Linked DNA regions of Canis lupus familiaris. The protein of the gene in region 2 purifies or fractionates together with the protein of the main gene of each other region. This does not show direct contact. Links are inferred from orthologs where the notes say so. Each region holds a gene or a part of one and is shown on either strand. Other genes may lie near its edges. The genes, in order: JUP, CDH5 and CTNND1.

Region 1 (3,598 bases), on a different chromosome or scaffold from region 2:
CAGCCCCTCACGGTGGTGGGAGAGGTTGTGCAGGATGCTGGTGGTGCAGCGGGCTGTGTCCAGGTCACTGGTGTTCTGCATAGTACGCACCACGGCTGCCACCAGCTGGGGCGAGCCCATCAGCGCCCGCCGTGACGCCTCTTTCTTGGACAGCTGGTTCACGATCATGGCTGCCTTGGTCACCACCACCTGAGGGGGACGGGGAGGGATGGGAAAAAGTGAGCAGAGGGGCCGGGCTGGCTGCCACCGTGAGATGGGGGGAGGAGGGCAAGTGACCCCCTCCACAAAGTTCAGAGGGACCCAGCTCAGACTCTCCCTGCTGATGGGGCCCTGCGTAGGGCCGGCCCCTGCGGACACCTGACCTCTCCCCTCTCTGCCCTGCCCCCACCCTGGCCAGGCCCCCCACGGACCGGGTCCTCGTCGTTGAGCAGTTTGGTGAGTTCAGGCAGGGCCCGGGTGGCCAGCTCGGCGTCGTCCTGGTAGTTGATGAGATGTACGATGGCTGACTTGAGCAGCTGGGACGGCTCGGCCAGCCGCTGCAGGTTGGTGGTCTGCCCTTCCACCTGGGTGGCCAGTAGCAGCGAGCTGTCTTCGCCTGTCACGCCAGGACACATGGCCTCCCGTACCCGCTTGGCTCTGGCTGTCGTGGACATTTGGTACTCCAGGTCACCTGGATGGGGGGGTGTCAACGGGGAGGGACTGAGTGGCAGGATGGGCAGGGGTGGGGGGGACACAGGGGGCAGGGCAGGCCTTGTAGACCGGGCTCTCTGGGCTGGCTCCCACCCCGACCAAAGCCCCAGCAGCACCACTTGTGATTCTGCCTCTAACCGGGGGAGGTCACCACCACCTCGTCATGTCAGCTGTAAAATGGGGCACCACCTGTTCTGTCCGTCACAGGGAATTTTTATAGGGAATTAAATGAGATAATAGTTGTAATTTGCTCTGAAAAGAAAGGATGTACTACACACATCACTACAAAAGTGTTAGTGAAGATTACTATCATGGGAACAGTTAAAAATTTTTGACCACTTACAAAGTGCTTAGCAGTGAATTAAACGTTTTTCTTATATTTTCTCATTTAATCTCATAATAACCCTAAAAGATAAATACTATTACTATCTCCATTTTACAGATGGGGAAACTGAAGCCCAGAGAGTTGTTTGGTTTTGTTGTTGTTGTTGTTTTCCTAGAAGCCCAAGCTGGGGTCTGAACTCAGACAGGCTGACTCCAGAGCCCAAACCCCAACCCTATGCCCCTCCCTTAACAATCAGGTTGGGGTAGCAGCAGACAACCCAGGTCTCCTTTCTTTGAGATCTCATGATTCTAATTATATCCTCATCATCTCCAAAGGAGGCAACTCTCCCATTATAGAGGCAAGCAAATAGAGGCCCAGAGGGCTACCCAGTATCATACAGCAGATCAGAGGGAAAGGTGGGAGTGTGGGTTTCAGAAGGCAGGAGGTGGGTTCTTAGCTAAGACTCCGGGTTCCACCCCCTGGGTGGGTCCAGGAGCCCCACAAATAGGTGCCCAAACTTCCCAGGCAGCCTGGCCCTGGCAAGTGTCCCGATGCCCTGAGGAGAAAGAGGCAGAGGTTCCACCCTCCAATTAGTCAGGAAGGAGGAGACACCCACACAGCTTTCCCACCTGGAATGCTGTACTTTTAGCTACCAACACAATGCCTGGTTCTCCCTGCCTGCTGTCAGGGAGGAGAGCCCCGGGCGGAGGCTGAGTTCTGAAGGGCCTCCACCTGTCACAGCCCGCCCCATACCTTTCCCAGCTCCCACAGCTCATCCTGTTCAGTGTTCGGGGCCCGGGAGGCACCCGTGGACAGCAGTCCTAGGGCTCGGATACCCTTCTCCCCCAGAGAGGCCAGCGCCCTAGCTGGTGAGGCATCCCCTGCTGCCAGAGGCCCAGAGCTGGGAGCCCGAACTGGGTCGTCACTCTGCCACCTGGCCACAACCTACCTGTAGGTCTCCTCCTACCCTCGTCAGGAGCCCTGCCTCCCCGTCAAACTTGGGGCCCCTGGAGCAAAAGGACCATCTTCCCCAATCGTCCATGGGCCTCTTGAGGGCAACAGTGACACCTTGTCATTACACTGTAAGCTCATCGAGGGTAAGGACCCTGCCTTCAGACTTTGCTTCTCCCTCCATACGAGAAGTTCAAGGAAGAGGAATCTGCCGCCCTCTCAGATGGGGGCAACCCTGAAGTAGCTGTGCCTCCTCCCTCAGACAGGAGCTCCCATTGTCTGCCTCCTTTTGCCCTGACCTTCCTCCAGGCCCCAGACTGGTTTTCTGCTGAAGTATTTCCATGGAATAGTTTCCCTGAACGAGTCCCCGGGGCTCCTGACCTTGGCTCTGGGGCACCTGGGTATAGGTGGTGGTCTTCTTGAGCGTGTACTGACGCCCGCAGGCCTCATCCTCTTCCATGATGCCCTTGCTGCTGACCGAGGGCACACAGGTGTTGGCACCCGAGTGAATGCCAGAGTCATAGGTGTATGTCTGTTGCCACTCAGTCACTTTGATGGGTTGTTCAATCAGGTTCATCACTTCCATGATGGCTGCTGGGGACACAAAGGAAGGCAGGAAATTAGCTGGCTCCAGTGAGGCAGCCCATCATCATCTGGCCCAGCCCCGGCTTCAGCCCATTCCCAGGCCCAGGGAGGGAATCCCCACCGTGGGGTGGGATACCCTAGGGTGAGTCCAGGGCTTAGATCGCTTACCTCCAGCCCAGGATGGAGCACACCCCAGGGGGCGTGGGGCAGTAAAGAGCCAGATGCCCCAACCTAGCCCTGGGCTTGCTCATCTTGCTCTCCCCAGGCCCACACTCTCTGAGCAAAAGGTACCCAGGGCCTCCAGCAGGTTCTGGGATCCCACAGACCCACCCCCCCCCATCCACTAGGGCTCTCTGGGAAAGTCTATGGTGAGGCAGCTACACCCCAAGCATCGGACAGGAAACTGGGTGGGGCAGGGAAGCAGTCAGACGGGTTTCTCTGGAGAGCCCTGGAGGCTGCTAGGAGCAGTCAGAGGCTCCCTTGGAGACTCCAGGATCTCAAGGATCTTTCCTGAAGATGGGGCAGGATCACAAGTGACCCCAGAGGCCCAAGCTCTAAGATCCCTGTCTCTCCGGCACCCCAGGTCTTAGAAGCCTTTTCTGGAATTCTGAGCCCCATCGACCAGTTCGAAATACCAGCCACATATGACTGGACCAATTCACTTCTCTGCAGAACCCAACCCTCATTTGCAAAATATGGATAACACCACCACCACCACCACCCCCCCCCCCGCAGGTTGTTATGAAGGCCAGATTTGTAAAGGACCCAGCCGGGTGCCAGGTACATAGTGGGTGCTGGGTGTTGGTGGCCGGCCACCTATCAGCGGTGCCTCTCCCTCAGTGGGGGGTTCCCACTTCCTGTCTTTGTAGAACCCAGGCTAAGATAAGGGGTGAGGCAGGCCTCAGGAGGGGTTGCTGCTATTCAGGCACCCCTCCATCTCTCTGCAGAGACGTGGGGGCACTTGAGGTGCATGAATTGCTGGGCCGTACTGTGTACCAGGGTGGTGGACTCTTACTTGGTCTGTTTGGCTTCCCTGTCTCGGGAGCT
Region 2 (4,053 bases):
TGCCTGGCTGGCTGCAGGGTCCCTGCCTCCCCTCCTCCCAGTGCCTGTGCCTGCCAGGATCTGACTCTTACTGTGTCCCAAGGCAGACAATCTGGAGGTCCCTGAATGAGTTTAGGGAACATTTGGTCCATGCCTTGCCCTTGAGAGGTTAGAAGACTGAAGGTCGGAGAGCAGACCTAAGACCTCTCCATATTCCTCCTCCAGGAAGCCTTTCGAAAATTTTCCATCCAACATCTGGGACTTGGGTTAGGATGGACTTTTTAGTATCCTCTAGCCAGAAGCTAAGCTCCTCAGGGTAGAACCTGTCTCCTAGAACATTCCTTCCAGGATCTTTAGGCCCCTGGCTTGTCCTCCTGCCTGATTGTGTGGCTTAAATGGTCAGGTTTAACCCTCCCTGACTTATCCTCTCTCCGAGCTTCACTCTGGAGTGTGGTGGGACTGTGGGTCAGAGGGGCTGGCCTCACTCCTATTTTGCTTCCATCTCACGCTTTCTGTGTAACCTGGGACTGGTTGCTTGATCTCTCTTAGCTCCCTGGTCCCCTTTGTCAAATAGGAATTGTTTTAGTAGCTTCAAGGATGCCGGGTGGCGGGGGGGTGGAGGTGGAGAGAGGTGCTGGCAGTAGCAGGGATGGGTCCCTGTAGGCAAGAAACCGAAGATTTTTCTAGAGCGAGTGGCCACTGTGTTCACCTTGTGTCCCCAAGGCAGCAGCAGCAGCAGGGCTGTGAGTCAGCCAACTTTGAGAGAAAATCCGTGTGGCCCCTCTGGTTTCCTGCCCCCATGTCCGGCCCTTGTTTCGCAGCACAATTGGTCAGGTTGAAACTGTGGGGTGGACAGCTTAACCCCTGCAAGGCCAGTGGACGCCTCCCCTGCTGCCTTACAATGGAATTGGCAGGGCTGCCCGGGGGCTCAGCAGCTCGTGGGTCCCTTGCAGGTTACCCGCTGCCCTCCAGGCTAGGGCCCAAAGGTGGCTGGTCTCCGCTGCTCCCCACCACCCGAAGGTGAGCCAGAGGCCCTGGTCCTGGCACTCATGGCCTCCAGTGTCCCCTGTGGCCACACCAGCCTTCATGAGTCCTCTGAGCTACCCAGGCTTCCTGCCTCTGTGGAGCCCTTCATCTCTTGTGGGATCCCATCTGTCCCCCTCACACAGCAGCATCATCCATGGGGTAGCTTGGTGAGGAGTGCCTACCAGGAGAAGGGTTGAGTCCACATCCTCTCTGTTGCACCCACCTCCACCCACTGGGGACTGACTGACCCAGGGTCAAAAACGTTACGACATTTATGGCTCTGGGGGAGTGGGTAAATTCAGCTGTGATTTCTTGAAGATCCCCCTTCTGTGAGCCCTTCCTGGCGCCAGTCCTGGTGTGTACATTGCCTCCTTTAATGGACTCGTGAAGACTATTTTCCTCTGGTTTAAAGATGAGAATGCTGAGACATGGAGGAGCTCCTTGGTGCTGAGAAGGGTCTGGGATCTGGGCTTTGGGGTCCTGATCCTGGCTCAGATCCCCACTCTTGCTCTTTCTTTGCCCAATCTCAGTTGCCTCCCTTGAGGAACAGAGAAAGGACGCATCGAACTTATGGATTCATTGGCAGTAGTGGAATCATGAGCTCCATCAGTTAGACCCTTTTATCCTGATCACCTCCAGTTTCCATGATGGCTGGCATGAGTCCCTGTCCCATTGTTCAGACAAGCACACAGAGGTTTGGAGGTGCTGAGTAATTTTCCCAAAGCAGCATGGGAAGGAGCTAGATCTGTGGATCTCACCCTAAACTGCTTGCTTTCAAGTCTTTTGGGGGGACTTCCCTAAAATATGAGGCCTGTGAGGTCCCAACCTTGGGGCATCCAGGTGGGCTGCCTTCCTCACTGTAGCTCCCATGGTCCTGTAGGCTCCTGTAGGCTCCCATAAGCTCCCGTAGGCTCCCATAGGCTCCCGTAGGCTCCCGTACGCTCCCATAGGCTCCTATAGGCTCCTGTAGGCTCCCATAGGCTCCTGTAGGCCCCTGTAGGCTCCCGTAGGCTCCCATAGGCTCCCATAGGCTCCTGTAGGCTTCCATAGGCTCCTATAGACTCCTGTAGGCTCCCATAGGCTCCCATAGCTCAAACGTGGCCCCTGCAGTGTCCAGGGCAGGGAGGGGAGGGATCCGTAGGGCCTCAGGTGCCCGGATCCTAGCCTCGGCTTGCCTATTCTAACAGTGGGGGTACTGGCTGACAGAGAGGGCCCAGGGCTCAGAGCTCCCCTTCCAGGGCTCCTCTCCTGATGCCAGCTCACAACTTTGGCAGGAGGGATGATGTCAGGCCATGGAGGAGGGCCACCCTAGGGAGACTAGGCCTGGGGTTGGTCCTCTACCTCTGGTGTGCTGGCACCTCAGACAGACTCTCGCCCTCTCTGATCATGGCACCGATGGAAGCCACTGGGCCTTCCAGTCACACAGGGGTGGAGAGTCTACATGTGGAAGAGCCACATCGTTAGCCCTTGATCCTGAGAATGCCCGTCTGTGTCTATGGCACCGCCGCTAGGTGCGCTTTCCCAGCCCTGCTTTGAGCCATGGTCTGCCCCCCAAGAATGGCTCTTGCCTGGGGCCCTGACGACGGCCACTTTCCATACCGGGAAGCCAGACATCCTCTCAGCGTGGGCACATGCCCCGAGTCTGGGGTGGAATGGGGTGCGGGGATTCCTCACTCACCGTGCTCGCGGGCTCAGAGGTGTCCTCGTTCCCTCTGACGGTCCGGCTGGGGCTGAGCTGGTGTGGAGCTCTGTGGAGCTCAGCCGATAGCTTCTGAGGGGAGCCACACCCGGCCGACTAGGGAGGCCTGGCTGCCGCCCCTTCAGGTTTTCCAGCTGGCCCTGGCCCACTTCCCCCTGGGATGGTTTCCTGTTATTGTTCCTTTGTGAGGGCCGGGCTGGCTGCAGATAGGCAGGCCCTGTGGTGGGCGGCTGCCTCGGCCCCGCCAGGCTGTCCTCACAGAGGCCCAGGCCTGGATCCGACCCGGGACGCCCAACTCAGACCCCAACCCCAGGCCCCAACCCTGGGCCCAGCACTCACCACAGTCCTTAGTTCATCCTCCTTGTAACTCTGAGGGCAGGTGTCATCACCCCCTGTGATAACTCAGAGCACTGAGAGTCTCCAAGTGCTCATCTACCCAGCCAGGGGGTAGCAGAGCCAGAAGTCCAGCCTGGGTCAGCCCGGGCCAGGAGCCAGATTTTCCCAGGTGACCCGTGACATGCTGGAAGGGCGGCAGACTGCGGGTGATGGGGAGGCTTCAGGGCCTTTGGGGGTGGGGTGGGTGGGAGATGGGAAACCAGCTCTTAGCTCCGGAGGGCCAGCCAGGTTGGCCTCTCCCTGATGGAGGGGGGCATGGGTTCTAGCTCTAAGGTAGCAGCCAGGGTTTGGAGGTGGGGGCATTTGAGTTTGGGAATATCAAGTGGAGTCAAGCGCCCTAGCTCTGCTTCTGTTGTGACTGCGGAGCCAGTCATGTCCCCCCATTGCCCGGTTCCCTCATCTGTAAGTGGGGATAATCAGAGCCTCAGCCTCACATGGTGGTTGAGATTAACAAGAGTTAGAATGAAGCTGAAGGTGGGATCAGTCCATCAGAACCAAGCAGCTGGGGGTAGGATGGGCTCAGATTCTGTGAATTTTGAGTCCTAGGAGGAGCTTTTAGAAACTGCAGATCCTGGGGCCCTGTTCCAGCTCAACTGATGTGGACTCTCCCAGCGTGAGCAATGGGAATCCGTCCTCTGAATGGTTGCCTCTTCCCATGGGTGAGTGGTTGGGAAGTCCCAAACTTGTTCCTTTATACGACTGAACCAACAGAGACCTGAGGGGAAGCATCTTGCCCAGGAGCACTCAGTAAATCTGTAGATGTGAGTACGGAGATGGGGGACAGAGTAGGAGAATATTTTTTGGGAAGGGGAGCTCAGGATTTCTCTGTTTCAGGCACGTTGAGTTTGAGATGGCTTTATTTATTTTTGGTTTATCTATTTATTTTAAAGATTTTATTTATTTGACAAGAGAGAGTACATGTGTGTGCATGAGCCAGCACAGGCAGGGGGAGC
Region 3 (4,367 bases), on a different chromosome or scaffold from region 2:
TTCCTGACATGCAGTTTTCTGTCAGGTGGCACCGAGGATCTGAACAGCTCCCGTCAAACTATCAGGAAAGAAGAGAATGGAAAGGTTAATGAAGAAAGGGTAGGCTCAATTCCAATTTCAGCCAGAGAAGGGGGGGTGGGGGCAGAGGATGGCTCTCGCGAGGCCCCACACATAGGCTCCGGGGAAGCTTCCCAACCCACCAGCAGCCGGCCTGGCCCCGAGACCCGACCTGGACGAGCTGTGCAGTCGGAGCTGCGCTTGGCGACCTCTCGGTGCTTGGGTCCTCTGCCCAGCCTGCCTTGCTTCCTCCCCAAGCCCAGCCTCGCGCGGGGAGGTTTAGCAAAGCAGCGCAGGTGGGCCAACGGCCTGAGGGTCTCCCCGTCCAGAGCCGAGGAATCGGGGCTGGCGGAGAAAGCTGGGCTTCAGGGCAGGCCCTGCAATGCTGGGCGTCCCGTCCCGCACGCTCCGGGCGCCCCGGCCCAACTCCTTTCAAGAGAGACCTCTCGGCGCGAAGGTTTCTGGGAATGGAGCGTGGGGACCCCGGAGGCCCGAATTCAGGGCTCGCGGGCACCACCAGCCAAGGCCGCACGGGCTTTGCAGCCACCCCCTGGCGCCCTCGTACCGCCGCGGGCCCCGCCAGCCGCCTGCACCGGGAGGCGGTGACAGCGAGGGCCTGAGGCCACGCGGCCCGCGCCACACAGCTCGCGCCGCCGTCCTCGCGCACGGCGCGTCGCGGGGCCCGACGTCCTTCCTCCTCCCCCAGCCCCCCTGCTGACGTCTGCCCGAACACGTCATCCCCATTGGCCGAAGGCTCGTCGGACGGCCAATCACAGGGGCCGCAGCACTTTGGGCGGGAGGCTAAGTCTCGAGCGACTTGAAGGCCGCGCTAAGACGGGCTGCGAGAGGTAGGCGGGCGGGCGGGCCTGCCCGGACGGGTCCTCCCGGGGCTGCCCTCTCCCTCGGCGCCCGACGAAACCCCGGTGAGAAGCGGGCGAGGATGCCCCGTAGGGCGGGCTCCCGGGCGGCTGCAGGACACCACTGCCTTCCCTTTGAGGAGGCTGCCAGTAAGTGGCCCTGGCCTGTGAGAGCGCTCCAGGCTCCCCGGGGGGCTCCCCTTGCGCCTCGGTCGGGCCTCTCCGCTCTCGAAAGCTCCTCAGGCTACGGATGTTCGCCAGCGAGGCCTTGGGGTTAGTGCCTGGGTGTAGGCATTTCAGAGATTCCAGTCCCCCCTAAATCTCCGAGACCGGGCGTGACCGAGGGGGTTGCAGTACTTCCCGTGCGGAGCGGCCTCCGGTGTCCTTCCAGGGATGATCTAGTTAGTGCACTTCCTGACTGGAAACAACTATTTTCAGGGGTGAGGTTAAAAAAAAAAAAAAAAAAAAAAAAAAAGTAAGTGATTTCAGGATTAAACATTTAGAGAGAATGTCAGCCCACATGACATGACAATGAACCCGGACATTGGTTCTTACCCGTTGTATGTGTTAGGACCTGGGGCCTGGCTCCCGTGAGATGCCCCGCCACGGCTCTCTAGACGAAGATGGTCAAGGCCAAAGCCACCGGGGATGGAGTGCGGTGAACTAAAGCGGGGCAGCTGCCACTGAGGCCAACGGGAGGCAGAGCCGAAGATGCTCGGGAGAAGGGGAACCTGCACAGAACGGACCAGAGTGCTGAGGTGAGCAGTGCAATGCGCTCAAATAGGTCTCTGTTGGTATCTAACGTCTTTTCCAAGAGGCTTTGAGGGGTATGTCGATGATACTACAATTAACTATGTTTTTAAGATATTTTATTTATTCATGAGCGACATCCAGAGAGGGGCAGAGACACAGGCAGAGGGAGGAGTAGGCTCCCTGCGGGGACCCCAATGTGGGACTCGATCCCAGGACCCCCGGATCACGACCTGAGCCTAAGGCAGACGCTCAACCGCTCAGCCACCCAGGCGTCACTGTAATAAATTATTTTTAAAGAATTTGAGAAGGTTGACTTAAATATGGGAGGCGGGGTGCATTTCCAAGTCAGGTAATAATTTTCTAGGCTTCTGTTCTCAACGTGGAAAAAAGATCAAGGAGCAGAAGACATTTTCGGCTGCAGTTAATGTTTTGAAGGGGAAGCAGTTTGTGAAAGGACGTAAAAGCAGAAGGAGGACACACGCAAGCAAAAAAAAAAAAGGCAGAGCAGTGTTTATGGCATCTGTCATAAGAAAAATAGAAATATTATATCCCCCCCATGAATTTATTGTTATTAGGATTATATTAATTTTCAAGAAATAGAGAGGACTCACTTCTTGGTTTCTTTCTTTCATTCATTCTTTCTTTTTTAAAAAAGCTTTTATTTATTTATTCATGAGAGACAGAGAGAGAGAGAGAGGCAGAGACACAGGCAGAGGGAGAAGCAGGTTCCTCGCAGGGAGCCCGATGCGGAACTCAGTGTCGGATCCTGGAATCACACCCTGAGCCACCCAGAGACCCTTCTTTTCTTTTCTTTTCTTTTCTTTTCTTTCTCTTTTCTTTTCTTTTCTTTTCTTTCTTTTCTTTTCTTTCTTTTCTTTTCTTTTCTTTCTTTTCTTCTTTTCTTTTCTTTAAGATTTTTAATTTATTCATTTGAGAGAATGACAGAGAGCACAAGCAGGAGGAGATAGAGAGGGAGAGGGAGAAGCAGACTCCCTGCTGAACAGGGAGCCGGATGTGGGGCTTGATCCCAGGACCTGGAGATCATGACCTGAGCTGAAGGCAGGTGCTTAACCATCTGAGCCACCCAGGTGCTCCCCTTTTCTTTTTTTTTTTTTTTAATTCAACACCATTTAGATAAATCTTGTGATAGTGGAATTTCTAAAGGGGAAGATAAATGGCCATCCTACCAAGGGCTTTAAAAATGACAACATTCGATGGTAATGTGTAGCCACCAGAGGGTAGAAACGAGTAAAAATATTTTGTCTTCCTTTGTATGGATAGCCAGTGCTTTTTGAAGTTGATTTTTTTTTTTCCCCCGTTTCTTCTCCTTGGCATTTATGGTTTTGGCTATTTTAGGAGTGGAGACAGCACAGCACTCAGCCCTACATGATAATTTTAATATTTCTTTTATTTTTATTTTATTACTTTATTTTTAATATTTCTTTTTTTTTCTTTTTTGAATTCAATATTATTTCCCAACTCTTCCCTAATTTTTTACTATTTTATCGTATCTTTGTATGTTAAGCATGTGATGGATGTTGGAGGGGAGATAAAGTTTGAGAGTTGAAAACTGAGCACTGAATGTAACATTCATTCCGTTTGTTAAAAACAAAACAAAATCAAAGAAGGGACGCCTGGGTGGCTTGGTGGTTCAGGGTCTGTCTTTGGCTCAGGTCATGATTCTGAGGTCCTGGGATGGGGTCCCCATTGGGCTCCCCGCAGGGAGCCTGCTTCTCCCTCTGCCCATGTCTCTGCCTCTCTCTCTCTCTCTCTCTGTGTGTCTCTTACGAATAAATAAATCTTAAAAAAAAAAAAAACAGGAAAGAAAAAAAACCCACCTTGAAATAAAAAAACACCTTATTGGGGATCCTTGGGTGGCTCAGCGGTTTAGTGCTGCCTTCAGCCCAGGGTGTGATTGATCCTGGAGAGCCAGGATCGAGTCCCACATCGGGCTCCTGGCATGGGGCCTGCTTCTCCCTCTGCCTGTGTCTCTGCCTCTCTCTCTCCCCCACCTTATATCTCTAAACATATCCTTAATCTGTTGACTTCTCTCTATTTTTACTGCTACTACTGTAGTTAACTCCATATTACTGCAACTTGACCTTCAAACTAATTTCCTTGCTTTCACCCTTGCGCCCTCTTTTATCCATTTGTCATCTAAGATCTTTTCAAAATCTGAGTTAGATCATGTCACTCTGCTGTTGAAAACACTCACAGACTTCCTTCTACCTGAAAATAGTTTAATCAAATCTCTAACCTGTGGAATTCTTCATATTTCTACCATTCCCTCCCTCATTTTGATACTGTGCTGGATCCCACAAGTTTCAGCCTCACACTTGGGGGCTTTGGCATTAGTAGTTACCATTGCTCCTATATTCCTTTTTTTTTTTTTTTTTTTTTTTTTTTTTTTTTTTTTTTTAAATTTTTATTTATTTATGATAGTCACAGAGAGAGAGAGGTGCAGAGACACAGGCAGAGGGAGAAGCAGGCTCCATGCACCGGGAGCCCGATGTGGGATTCGATCCCGGGTCTCCAGGATCGCGCCCTGGGCCAAAGGCAGGCGCCAAACCACTGCGCCACCCAGGGATCCCCTGCTCCTATATTCCTATGTTGGCTGCTTCTTCCCATTCATATTTCAACTTAAATGCCAAAGTCTCTGGAGAGTTTGTCCTTGACATCCAATATAGCACAAGCCACAAG

What was found.
Region 1: the proteins of CDH5 (region 2) and JUP purify together in Homo sapiens (affinity purification with western blotting; 3 studies listed by BioGRID and IntAct, with this or other methods). This does not show direct contact. The link is inferred for Canis lupus familiaris from reciprocal best matches to the Homo sapiens genes CDH5 and JUP.
Region 3: the proteins of CDH5 (region 2) and CTNND1 purify together in Homo sapiens (affinity purification with western blotting; 3 studies listed by BioGRID and IntAct, counting the BioPlex papers as one, with this or other methods). This does not show direct contact. The link is inferred for Canis lupus familiaris from reciprocal best matches to the Homo sapiens genes CDH5 and CTNND1.

Annotation. Positions count from the first base shown.
Region 1 is NC_049230.1:20,915,369-20,918,966, reverse strand, and holds part of JUP (junction plakoglobin), read right to left. Parts: intron 2,561-3,598; 5' UTR 2,553-2,560; coding exon 2,348-2,552; intron 671-2,347; coding exon 411-670; intron 190-410; coding exon 1-189. UniProt on the Homo sapiens protein: Common junctional plaque protein. The membrane-associated plaques are architectural elements in an important strategic position to influence the arrangement and function of both the cytoskeleton and the cells within the tissue.
Region 2 is NC_049226.1:83,446,659-83,450,711, forward strand, and holds the start of CDH5 (cadherin-5), read right to left. Parts: upstream 2,843-4,053; 5' UTR 2,684-2,842; intron 1-2,683. UniProt on the Homo sapiens protein: Cadherins are calcium-dependent cell adhesion proteins. They preferentially interact with themselves in a homophilic manner in connecting cells; cadherins may thus contribute to the sorting of heterogeneous cell types.
Region 3 is NC_049239.1:38,935,613-38,939,979, reverse strand, and holds the start of CTNND1 (catenin delta-1), read left to right. Parts: upstream 1-1,485; 5' UTR 1,486-1,672; intron 1,673-4,367. UniProt on the Homo sapiens protein: Key regulator of cell-cell adhesion that associates with and regulates the cell adhesion properties of both C-, E- and N-cadherins, being critical for their surface stability.